Linked DNA regions of Arabidopsis thaliana. The protein of the gene in region 1 purifies or fractionates together with the protein of each later gene. This does not show direct contact. Each region holds a gene or a part of one and is shown on either strand. Other genes may lie near its edges. The genes, in order: PFD3, PFD1 and PDF2.

Region 1 (4,558 bases):
TCAATCCATAAGAGTTTTTTATTTTATATATATTTCGTCATGTTATTGACATTGAAGTAAAACCAAATTGACAAATTGCAAAATAGAAACAGAAGATAACACAAGACCTCAAAATATCCATTTATGTATACTGTACAAATCTATGAAAAAGACGTGAGATCCCTTGTTACAGTGGCACTGTAAAATGAATACCGAAAAAAGAGCGCAAAGAAAAAACTGGCAAAAGGGATTTAAAGGTAACTGGAGAGGGATATATTCAGTAACCGTAGTGGCGTAGTCCTCGAGTGTAAACCAAACAATTTCATAAATGGTGTACCATGGCTCTACCGTCAAAAATAAAATTACATCACTTTTGTACGTGAGCTAATATATTTGGAAATGCAAGCACCAAAGGTCTTCCAAGCACGCAGGAAGAAAGCTAATAACTAAGATATAAGATTTTTTAACACTGCAAAAAGGGTTGATGTCAGTACCTTCCATAATAGGGGATCTTAGATTTGGTGGCATTCTGTTTCAGCTGATCAAAAGCACCTGCCCTGAAAGTATCCGCACACACTAGAGCTGGTTTGTACCCTTTTCTTCTGATGATAATAAGCATACTTGGTACAAGTTGTGGTTTTTCCAGCACCTAACACACAGTCAAAAAGTTTTGGACGATTTTAACAATGAATTTACAACTACACAAAAGCATAGCATCTTACAGAGAGATCAGATACCTCACCTTGTAATCCGACGAACATAACTACACTAGGTTTGGCCTTTTTGGGAGCAAATGCAGACTTTCCTGGATCCAACATCTTACAGAGTTCACTGAAGATCGCCTGAAAGAGAATCATAAGAACTTAATCACAAAAAAAAAAAAACGTAAACCTATTTAATCGAAATTAGACATGCAGAATCTGCGGTAAAGCCTAAGACCTGCTCAATGATACGACGCTTGTTATGGCCGGCTGCTAGATCCTCAAGGTTGACGATTTTCTTAATATTGGTCTGCATCTCCTTCACAAGGGGGAAAGAAACATCGGACTGGAGCAGAGCACGAGTGATCTCGTTCAAGCAATCATTCAGAGCCTTTTCATCGATTATTGTCACATTGTTCATCTTCTGTATGGCGCTCATAATCCGACCTCCAAGCTCCGCCAACACCATTTTCGCTGCTCTCTGTATTCTTCTACCTCAAATTAGGTTGATCTATATATCTGTTGTCGGATTTTGGAAGATCTAGCGAGACGGGAGAAGCTGAGTATCTTTTTTTTTTTTTGGGGGTCAAACATTGAGTATCTTAGATTCATTTCTATATTCTAAAAAATTATAAACCGGTTAGGATCAAAACGATGGGCTTAACATAGCTCCATAGGCCCAATAGTAAGTTGTTCCCCTACTGAATTGAATTAGAACCAAATAAGTGCTAAACCAATGGTACAATTTTCAAAAAAATTCATCGTGAATACGGAACCGGCCTAATTAATTTACAAAACCGCGTCCGTCTTCAATAGTAATGGGCCTGCGAGGCCTTTTTATCCCCTTCTTAAAAAACGACGGCGTTACACTACTCTAATTCCGACTACGGACGCCGTGTCGGAGTCGTCAGATTCGAAAAACATACAAAACCAAGTCGAAGCTTTTAAAACCCTAAATCCCCAAATCGGGAACTGAGATTCCGATTCGAAGATGTCGTCGTCTTCTCCGAGTGGAAGCGGTAGTGATTTGACTGAGAGAAGAGGGATCCCTGCCGCCAAATTCATCCAAGATGTGGAGACTTATCTCTCTCAGTCTGGTCTCGATCCTAACTCTGCTCTCGCCTTTCACCAAGAAAGGTTTCTCCTCTTTCTAGTTCTCATTTTCACTCTGAAAGTCTACTCATTTATCTGAGTGTGTTCTTCTTAAGCTCAAATCCCAGATCTCCTACGGATTTATAATCAATTGAATCCAAAATCATTACTTGTGATTAATCCTTTATGGTTTCTCTTTCTATGGTTTTAGGCTTCAGCAATATAAAGTTGTTGAGATGAAGCTTCTTGCTCAACAAAGGGATCTTCAGGTTCACTTGTTTCTAGTTTATGTATGATGCTTTTAAGTTATCTCTACTTGATGATATCTCACTAGTGTTGGTAAATGTGTAGGCTAAAATCCCAGATATTGAAAAGTGTTTAGAGGTTGTTGCTACTTTGGAAGCAAAGAAGGGTACTGGTGAGGTTCGTCGTTGTTCATTTTCATTTTGTTTAGCTTTGATGTTATGATCAGTGTCTTGCTACTGTTTTTGAGATGGATTGTGAGTATATATAAATGTAGAAACATTGTTATTTAAACTTTTGAATCCAGAATCCAGAGTTTTTATTCCATAATGTTGAACTTTGTTGTGCTTTGATTTCTTACCAATCTTTGAATGCAAGCTTTTGTGTTCATGTGAAGATATTTTCTTTTCTCTTCTGCGCGAGTCAGTCTTACTTGCAACATTTCCTTAGAATCTCATAAGCCTACTTGCATTTGAAAGTCTGTTTTTGAAGATCGAGATTGATTGGTTGAAAAGACAATGTCGAAATCACTAATCAGAGTTCTTATTTATTCCTATGGCCCCTTAAATTAGTGTTAAGTGGTGTTTGATGGTGACAGCAGAACATGTTGAGTTCTTGCTTCACTGGAAGAATCAGTGAATCGCTGACACAGAGATTGTAGTGGGCACGATGTTTTGTCTTTCCTATATGAAAGTGTCTTTGGTTTTTAGACTTACTGTTGATTCTTGTGTTCTTCATCATTATTTTCTCACATGGAATTCTTCTTACAATGCAGGCGCTCTTAGCTGATTTTGAGGTGTCTGAAGGAATATATTCACGGGCCTGCATTGAAGACACAGACTCAGTGTGTTTGTGGTTGGGAGCTAATGTCATGCTGGAATATTCCTGTGAAGAGGTCCATTACCCTAAAAACATATTCTATTCGCTATTTTAAATCTCCGGGACCATAGAATAAGTTCTTATAATCTTTGTTGTTCCAACAGGCTTCAGCTCTTCTGAAAAACAATCTGGAAAATGCTAAAGCCAGCCTGGAGGTTCTTGTAGCTGATTTACAGTTCTTGAGGGATCAAGTCACAGTTACTCAGGTACAGAGATACTTGTAAATTTATCTCATTTCATTTGAGTTAGCCCCTAATTCGTGAGAAGTTACATATAAGTAGGGGCCTGATCTTACTTTAACATAACTGTTAATTATCAAAAACCCAAAATTGCAATTTAGGCAACCTGTATTGTAGATACATACAAAGATTGAGTAAAGAGTAGTCTCTGACTAGGACTTTTTGGTGATCGACAGGTAACTATTGCACGTGTTTATAACTGGGATGTTCATCAAAGGAGGGTTAAACAAGTTACCCCTACTGCTATTGCTGTTGCAGATTCATGAACTAGAGATCCAAATTATAATCGTGTGGGCTTAAACGAGGTAATATGATTATTTGGACACCTTTTGCCTCAATCAGGTTGTTTGTAACTCTTAATCTTTGCTATCTTTATGAAATTTGTGTTGCTGCGACAAACCTATGAATAGAACATTAGCATTGTTATCATCGCTTGCCTTCCGTTTTTCGCTACATACCTGTGGAGTTTTGAGATCAGCTTGTGTTCCCCGCTATTGAAGTATTACTTTTGTAAGGGATGTTAGAGATATATCAAACTATTTGCAGAATCTGGTGGTCTTGACTAATGTCCCAACTTCCAAGTGTTCAGAAGATATGATTCTAGAAGTAAAAGGATGAGAAATTACTAAAAGTCAAGTTGTGTCATTTTCTCCGAAATTTTTATGTTCAATATTGGTGACGGCTTATACTTTTGGTTAGCAAAAAGTGGAAATGGGAAACAAAACGTGATCAAATCGAACCTTTTTATCAGCTTTTCTCATTTGTGCATATGCATTTAAAGGAATGAGATTCATTTTCTGAATATAACATCTTTTCTTGTCACTGATACGACGTTTTATAGTAAATCTTTTGGGAGGATTTAACCAACCATTATTAAAACAAACTCTTATTTGATGATTTGGTCATGATCTTTGCCATATTCAAATACTTTGGGTATAGGTTATTTTAGGCATCAATTTGGGTATCATGTTCTGTGTAATTCCCTTTAACAAGTTGAGAGTATTATTTATGATCGTTTTGATAAAGAATATTAGTACGAGAGAGCAAACAAAAATAGGGCATTCATCAACGGATTCTGCTTCCACTGCCATAGAAAATGAACCTCTCAATTAATGATGGTCCATATTTCACTTATTGACTTTCACTTCTTCTTCTTTTTTGACAACTTTTTATTTGTTTATCAATTTTATTTCCTTATTTTTCCTCCAAACATTTCCTTCATATTTGGCCTCTTTTAAACCACTCTTTGCACCAATATTTTTTAAACCACTCTTTACACCATTATTTTGAAATTATCTAATATCTATGACACTAACTTGATACATTGTACATCTAATTTCCGGAAAAACACTTCTTCATGATTATATACGATCTCGACATTGATGTATATTAGTGGTTGGTTACAATAAAATAGTTTGGGAATAC
Region 2 (3,524 bases), on another chromosome or scaffold:
GTGTATGTGTATCTCTTTTGACACTTATTGCTCACATGCTATTGATGATTGATCAACTTGAGTTTTAACTATTGTTTCACTGAATTCATAATATATATTACATCTACTTGTGTTTAGATTGTGAGGTTAAATTTATATATATTCACAATGTTAGATGCAATCTCGAGTTGTAGTCTTTTTTTTTTTTTTTTTTTGTCAAAAGTGTGTTTTATTTAGTATAGAAAGCCAAAGTAACATGCCAATATTTTACAAACACTAAACCAAGGAAGCCAAACAAAAGAAAACAAAGTCCAATAAGAAAGCTGAAGGAAAAGCTTAAATGCATTATATTAGACATGTGGCAAGCAGGAAGCAGGTTAGAAGACACATGCAAAGTTGAAGATGTGAGAGTCTCCGTTGATCAGAAAGCTTCAATTCCGGCCAAGATCGCCGGAAAATTATTCAATCGACTTATCCTAATCTTCCCTCAAGAAACAAAGCGAATTCCATTTTAGCAACAAATACCCGAAATATGAGCCGAATCACACCGAAAACAGAGCCAGACCACACCGGAAACAAAGTCTTCTCATCCGGACAACGAAAGCCGGTAAGCATACCGAACGGTGGAACAAGGATTGAGTTTTCTCTCCGAAGAATCATAGAGAGACCTCATCCTTGTTAAAATTTTTGTTTTCGAGTTAGATAGATCATGCATTTGTTGTCGCATAAGAAATCTCAGTTTTTTGCAATATCATAGACCAGAGGCTTTAAAACAATACTGATCGAACAAAAACTTTTGAATGTTACAACTTTTAACTAGAACATGTTATGGTTTCAATCCCAAAAGCTCTCCAAACTCAAAGGTTTGGGATAATACAAAAGTTACATAGACATGGACATAATCTGTTGAGCAATGCCCGGTTCTTGCTGCAACAGCTCCCTCAAGTTGTTCTCAACCTCTGCTACCTGCTTCTCCAAGTATTCCTTGGATGTCTAAAAATCATCCCGAAAACAAAACATGTTTGATAACCAGCATCTCAATGATCTCCTAATAACCCAATAAGATGTTGAAAGAGGGAATGATTGTTACCTGTAGAGAAGCAACGGCAGCTTCACTGTCCTTGAGTTTTTGCTCTTGTTCACCCTCCAGCACTGTCTTGGGCTCTAGAACAAACCTGTTCACCATACAAACTATAATCAGCCTTCAAAATTCTCTAAAGGCCTCTAGTTGGACTGACTAATAACCACCACTCACGTTCTTCCTGAAAACAAGAATAAAACACAAATTAGACCAAAACTTTACTAGTCCTTGTCTCAAAACCAGAGAATTGAATCACTTGCCTATTGACTTGTAGGTGTTTGTCTCTTCAGGCAATGGCCTCAGCTCCTCCAAGGTTAAGAAAGCTCGCTTTCTATCTCCCTCTTTGTTGCGCATCTGATTCTGCACCTATATATAAAACCCATCCACATTCACATTTCAGTTTTTCAGCACCACATGACAATAACCTAGGAAAGCCAATTTTGTCATTACACAACATGAAAGAAGGGATTATAAAACCAAACACAGTTCAAGAACTAACAAATTACAAGTAAACCCTTATACAATGTGTCACGTTTGATTCTAAAACTTGATAAATACAAAGAAAGTGAGGATTCACCTGTTTGAGCTTCCCAGTGAGTTCAATCATGCTAGCTTGAATCTCCATAAAAGCCTGTTGTAACTATACACATTACAATTCCATTTTCTGCAACATCTTACTGGGGAAAGAAGAATATTCCACTAGAAAATTGAGCTGATTTAAGAGAGAGAGAGGTACTCACAGCTCTGGTTGCTTCGTCCGCCATGTCTGCAGATCTTGATCTTTGAACGAACCCCGACGTGCTAGAGAAGGGTCTTTCGTTTTAGGGTCAAAAAGTTAGAACTACCCGGGTCGGGTTTCAGACGGCTTAGCCCGGTTTATCAAGGCTTTATTGGGTCAAATCGGCCCATTTATAATTAACGATGATTTTATACTTTTAAAAAAATATGTGTTTGCATTGGAACAAACAATTCTACCCAATAACACAATTTAATTTACCCATTTGGTTTTAGATTGTACCATGATTTTGTAAATCAAAGACTCAAAGTCATTGTCTTTTTTTTCTTGTATAATCAACCACCCAAACCATTGTTTGTATCGTAACCAATTCAGCTAACACCACCAAATTATTTTACCATATTATATTTTAAGGGTGATTTGCATTATCATACACTTTCGAAAACATGTTGAGCAAAAGTTTTGCCGACAGGCACACTTCTGATCAATTATAAGGGTGATCAATTATAAGGGGGAAAAAGACTTAATTGACCCTATTAATTAAATCAAGTAAAATCGGTTATTTAGGGTAAGAGTTTGGGGAAACCGGTTTATTTTGTTTTTGCAAACCGGAGAAAGCATGGAACGAATAACTATGTCATCGAAGTTTGAATGACGATGAACAAAAGAAAGAGAAGCTCTGAAGTTTGAAGCAACTAACAAAGATATCATAACGATGGTAAGAAAAAATGGATTGGTAACAATAGTAGAAAATATTCGCTGATATATTATTGACTGTCTAAGATAAAAAATTTATATATTGCAGGGAACTGAGGATGGCTTCTGTTATGTAATATGCGGGGATTGGAATTGCGAGGAGGATGAGAAGTGGTATGTTGAGGTTAATAAGGTAATGAAATCTCGAATTGTGCCTGTATATAAAGGTATTAAGCTATCAGAATTCGTGGAAGCCATTAGAGTAGAATTTGGAATTTCAACGAGTACGAAGGTTGATTTAAGCTTCTGTACCCCAAATATAAGAGATTTTACCACCGGAGATAAAACACCACCGGTCGTCGTGACGACTGATGTGGGGCTAAGTTATTTTATGAAGATATTGGAAGCAAATGTTGGAACCAACATGTTTGTAAAGTTTGGAACATCTTGTAAAAGAGTTTTAAACAATTCTGAGGTTGACGGTGGGCTAGTGAAGACCAGTTCAGTTAAGGAAGATGACGGAAGAGGGAATAAGTCGAAACGTTTATGTGGATCAGAAGATAGTATATCGAAGGTCGGGTTGAAAGAATTTTTGCTGTCCTCCGAAGATGAAGAATTTGTTGCAGAACTTGAAACTATAGAAAGAGTTATAGGTTGTGAACGAGGTCCTCTTGTTAGTGAAATTTTATCTGAAGATCTTGATGATGAAGATCTAGTGGATGAAGGAAGCGAAGATCTTACTTGGGATGAGATTATAGAAGTAAAACCCCAATCTTATGATGTGGAGTTTTGGAGCCCATTCTTGGATGAGGACATGGGTGGCTCAAATGCATTGGATATAATATGTGTCGGGGAAGAAGATGCTGATGTTAGAATGGGATTTGCGTCACCAACAGTAGACACAGAATTGGTGGCCAGTGTGGAAGGTGCAGGTTCGAACATGGAAATTGATGATTTGATAACGTCTTCGATTAAGCATCCAACTGATTTACTTGCAAACAGCAGTGGAACGGGAAAAGTTGTTAACAATAG
Region 3 (4,311 bases), on another chromosome or scaffold:
AGCAGAAGTTGTGGGTTTGAGTTTACAAAGTGCAATAACGATTGGAGAAGCATTGGAAGCGACTGTGCAAACCGCTGGAAACAAACCGGTGGATCAAAGCGACGCAGCAGCGATTCAAGCGGCAGAGGTTAGAGCTTGTGGCACTAATGTGATTGCTCCTGGTGGAATCGCCGCTTCTGCTCAATCAGCAGCAAATCACAACGCTACCATAGACCGTGATGAGGATAAAATCAAGCTCATTGATGTTTTGGCGGTTAAACCCCAATTTTAAAAACATCTTCAATGTCTTAATGTTTTAGTTTTAAGATTGTCTAAATGTGTTTGAACCGGATGGCTTATTAGGGTGCGACCGGGAAGTTAGCCGCAGATAAAGCTGTGACCAGGCAGGACGCAGAGGGAGTGGTGAGCGCTGAGCTGAGGAACAATCCTAATTTGTCTACTCACCCTGGTGGTGTAGCGGCTTCTATTACTGCCGCCGCTAGGCTTAACGAGAGAGCTGATATATGAAAAATCCTGCGAGAGGGAGATGTTTTGGTTCTGTTGTTCAAAAAAGTTCAGTCATAATGTAAAAAAATGGTCACTTTCCGGTTATAAAGTTGAAATCTTTCTCTAGCACAACGGATCTACATAAATATGGCATTTCTCCAGTCTACTAGTTTTGTGACATTCAAAACATGTTGATTTTTTCCAGCAAAGTTTACGGCTTTTAACCATAAGATCCAAAAAAGAGATACAACAGTAAAACAAACTGCCAAATATAGAGTTTTACTGGCTTGAACTGGCAGCTCCAACAAGAACACCTTGAGCATTACCTTCCTTCTTGTTACCTCCTTCCTTGTTATCTTCTTGTTTCGTTATCCTGATCTTATACTTAGCTTCAAACTCTGTAAGATCTTTCTTCTTTTTCTCCAATGTCTCGTATAGCTTCCTCACAACCTCTTCAAGTCCGTCCTTGTTACGTTGGACAGCTGGTAGTACCTCTTTGATGGTTCTTTCGACAAGAACGCCTCCTATCATGCGGAAGCATTTCCTCGATTGGTCGAGAGGCTGAATGGCGTTAATGACCAGAGAATGTTCGCTCACTTGCATCTCGAGGTCGGTTATGTTGGAGTAGATTTGGCTTAGCTCTGATCTCTTGCCTTCATACATGTTCAAAACAGCTTGCTCATTCGGCGGTTCTCTTAGGCCACCGCTTCCAGATTTGCTGGCCATTACTTCGATCCTACTACAGAAATTAGATCCAAGAAATCACGAATTGCATAGTTGAAGCAAAAAATGAGAGTAAATCAATAAAGAAACTCAAACAACAACACTCAGAGAAACATTTGCATCTGACACAACTACGAACCGAAAAACACAATTGTTACAAAACAATTCCAAGCACATTGGAAAGAATACTAATCACTTAACCAATGCAGAGAACTATCTTACCTCAAGAATGATTCATACTTAATTCATTATTCTCTCAGAAGTTATAAAATACAAAACATGGTGAAGCATAAGGCTTTTACCAGATCAAGATCAATCCTACAATCATTCCATCACTATCTTGTCACGAACAATCACGCCCTTTTCCATCAAATAGATCTAAATACTACAACAGCCACATCTAAACCAATGACATAGCTTATCCTTCAGAATCCATCAGTCTCATAGCATCAAATACACTTATACAAGTAGAAGCAACCAACACAGAACATTCCACAAAGTAGACGTATATGAGTTCACTAACAGTGTATCATCTCCTACATAATACTCCAATCTCAAACTATGGCAACAGAGACTCAAACATAGAAACGATAACAACAACCAATTTAACATCCTTTTCAACAATCAGGGCTATTTCTCCAAACTAGGGTTTCAACGTCTACTTATATCAACTCTCAACACATATATTCCATGATCTAAGCTAATTTTCTAACATTAACGAAGCTTGATTGGGATCTAAGAAGTCTCAGTGAAAATTTCTACGATTCCAGAGCTAGATTCTGTTTACTCCGAGATCGATATCGACACAAATCTTAAGACCATTTGAACCACAAAAAAAAATCAACAACTAACAAAAATACTTACTTTCAGAAACGAATCCACACACGAGGAAGAAGATCGAAGAAGAAGAAGCTTCGCTTGAGAGGAAACAATCGAGAGAACGATGGAAGCAAACGCGGCGCAGAGAGTGAGGAAGATGAAGAAACAAGGTTGGGTTTAACTCGTACCTTTCCCAATTAAAACCGCTTTGATTTTTAAATCAAAACATTGAACCGGGTTTAAATATATGAATGAATCAAAACCGGAATTTTCATTTCCTTCTTCTTCTCTTCTCTCTCACACAGCACAAAGGACCAACGATTCATTCATTGAAGAAGATGATACAGAGATTGATTCCTCTAAATCGAAAAGCTTCGAACTTTACTCAGATTCTTGAGAAAGGTACTTCTTTATTACACTATTCTAGTATCACCGAAGCGAAGCTTTCTTATAAAGAGAGATTAAGGAATGGGATTGTTGATATTAAGGTTAATGATGCTATTGATCTCTTCGAATCCATGATTCAATCTCGTCCTTTACCTACTCCAATCGATTTCAATAGATTGTGTAGTGCTGTTGCTAGAACGAAACAGTATGATTTAGTGTTAGGTTTCTGCAAGGGAATGGAGTTGAATGGGATTGAGCATGACATGTATACTATGACCATTATGATCAATTGCTATTGTAGAAAAAAGAAACTTCTTTTCGCATTTTCTGTTCTTGGGAGAGCTTGGAAGCTTGGGTATGAGCCTGATACAATCACGTTTTCGACTTTGGTTAACGGGTTTTGCCTCGAGGGTAGAGTTTCTGAAGCGGTTGCGTTAGTTGATCGGATGGTGGAAATGAAGCAAAGACCGGATCTTGTAACCGTTAGCACTCTGATCAATGGACTTTGTCTAAAGGGTAGAGTGTCTGAAGCTTTGGTTTTGATTGATAGGATGGTTGAGTATGGTTTTCAACCTGATGAGGTTACTTATGGACCGGTTTTGAATAGACTGTGTAAGTCAGGGAACTCTGCTTTGGCTTTGGATTTGTTTAGAAAGATGGAAGAAAGAAATATCAAAGCTAGTGTTGTTCAGTATAGTATTGTTATTGATAGTCTTTGTAAAGATGGGAGCTTTGACGATGCGCTTAGCCTTTTCAATGAGATGGAGATGAAAGGGATTAAAGCTGATGTTGTTACGTATAGTTCTCTTATAGGAGGTCTTTGTAACGACGGTAAATGGGATGATGGTGCAAAGATGTTGAGGGAGATGATTGGAAGGAATATCATTCCCGATGTTGTCACATTTAGTGCTTTGATTGATGTTTTTGTGAAAGAGGGGAAGCTTCTAGAGGCTAAAGAGTTGTACAATGAGATGATCACAAGAGGTATAGCTCCTGACACCATTACATATAATTCATTAATTGATGGGTTTTGTAAGGAGAATTGCTTACATGAGGCTAATCAGATGTTTGATCTGATGGTTAGCAAAGGGTGCGAACCTGACATCGTGACTTATAGTATTCTCATAAATAGCTACTGCAAAGCTAAGAGAGTTGATGATGGTATGAGACTTTTTCGTGAGATTTCTTCGAAAGGATTGATTCCTAATACAATCACTTATAACACTCTTGTCCTAGGGTTTTGTCAATCGGGAAAACTTAACGCCGCCAAAGAACTCTTCCAAGAGATGGTTTCTCGTGGTGTGCCACCAAGTGTTGTAACTTATGGTATTTTGCTGGATGGTTTGTGTGACAATGGTGAACTAAATAAAGCATTGGAGATATTTGAGAAAATGCAGAAGAGTAGGATGACTCTTGGTATTGGTATCTATAATATCATCATTCACGGGATGTGCAATGCTAGTAAGGTCGATGATGCTTGGAGTTTATTCTGTAGCCTCTCTGACAAAGGAGTGAAACCTGATGTCGTGACATACAATGTAATGATTGGAGGACTATGTAAGAAAGGCTCGTTGTCTGAAGCCGATATGCTGTTTAGAAAAATGAAGGAGGATGGGTGTACTCCGGATGATTTTACGTACAACATTCTTATCAGGGCACATCTTGGAGGTAGTGGTCTAATCTCTTCAGTTGAACTCATAGAAGAAATGAAGGTGTGTGGGTTCTCTGCAGATTCTTCCACCATAAAGATGGTTATTGATATGTTATCAGATCGTAGATTGGATAAAAGCTTTTTGGATATGCTTTCTTGATTGTCTAATCTGATCTACAAGAGATAAAGAAAATATTTTTGTTTGTAATTCCAAATCACTAAAATATTGTACCAAGCTTGGGGCT

The links.
Region 2: the proteins of PFD3 (region 1) and PFD1 fractionate together in Arabidopsis thaliana (co-fractionation; one large-scale study listed by BioGRID). This does not show direct contact.
Region 3: the proteins of PFD3 (region 1) and PDF2 fractionate together in Arabidopsis thaliana (co-fractionation; one large-scale study listed by BioGRID). This does not show direct contact.

The regions. Positions count from the first base shown.
Region 1 is NC_003076.8:20,079,058-20,083,615, forward strand, and holds PFD3 (prefoldin 3), read left to right. Parts: upstream 1-1,542; 5' UTR 1,543-1,671; coding exon 1,672-1,817; intron 1,818-1,983; coding exon 1,984-2,041; intron 2,042-2,123; coding exon 2,124-2,195; intron 2,196-2,790; coding exon 2,791-2,910; intron 2,911-2,998; coding exon 2,999-3,100; intron 3,101-3,309; coding exon 3,310-3,399; 3' UTR 3,400-3,985; downstream 3,986-4,558. Other genes in the region: AT5G49500 (Signal recognition particle, SRP54 subunit protein), read right to left, coding at 474-628, 717-821, 919-1,149.
Region 2 is NC_003071.7:3,043,944-3,047,467, reverse strand, and holds PFD1 (PREFOLDIN 1), read right to left. Parts: upstream 1,946-3,524; 5' UTR 1,825-1,945; coding exon 1,801-1,824; intron 1,692-1,800; coding exon 1,638-1,691; intron 1,427-1,637; coding exon 1,321-1,426; coding exon of another isoform or gene 1,317-1,320; intron 1,242-1,316; coding exon 1,235-1,241; intron 1,155-1,234; coding exon 1,070-1,154; intron 973-1,069; coding exon 862-972; 3' UTR 564-861; downstream 1-563. UniProt on the Arabidopsis thaliana protein: Binds specifically to cytosolic chaperonin (c-CPN) and transfers target proteins to it. Binds to nascent polypeptide chain and promotes folding in an environment in which there are many competing pathways for nonnative proteins.
Region 3 is NC_003074.8:7,965,981-7,970,291, reverse strand, and holds PDF2 (prefoldin 2), read right to left. Parts: upstream 2,304-4,311; 5' UTR 2,074-2,303; intron 1,715-2,073; exon of another isoform or gene 1,474-1,714; intron 1,226-1,473; 5' UTR 1,213-1,225; coding exon 766-1,212; 3' UTR 587-765; downstream 1-586. Other genes in the region: AT3G22490 (Seed maturation protein), read left to right, coding at 1-253, 343-507; AT3G22470 (Pentatricopeptide repeat (PPR) superfamily protein), read left to right, coding at 2,367-4,226.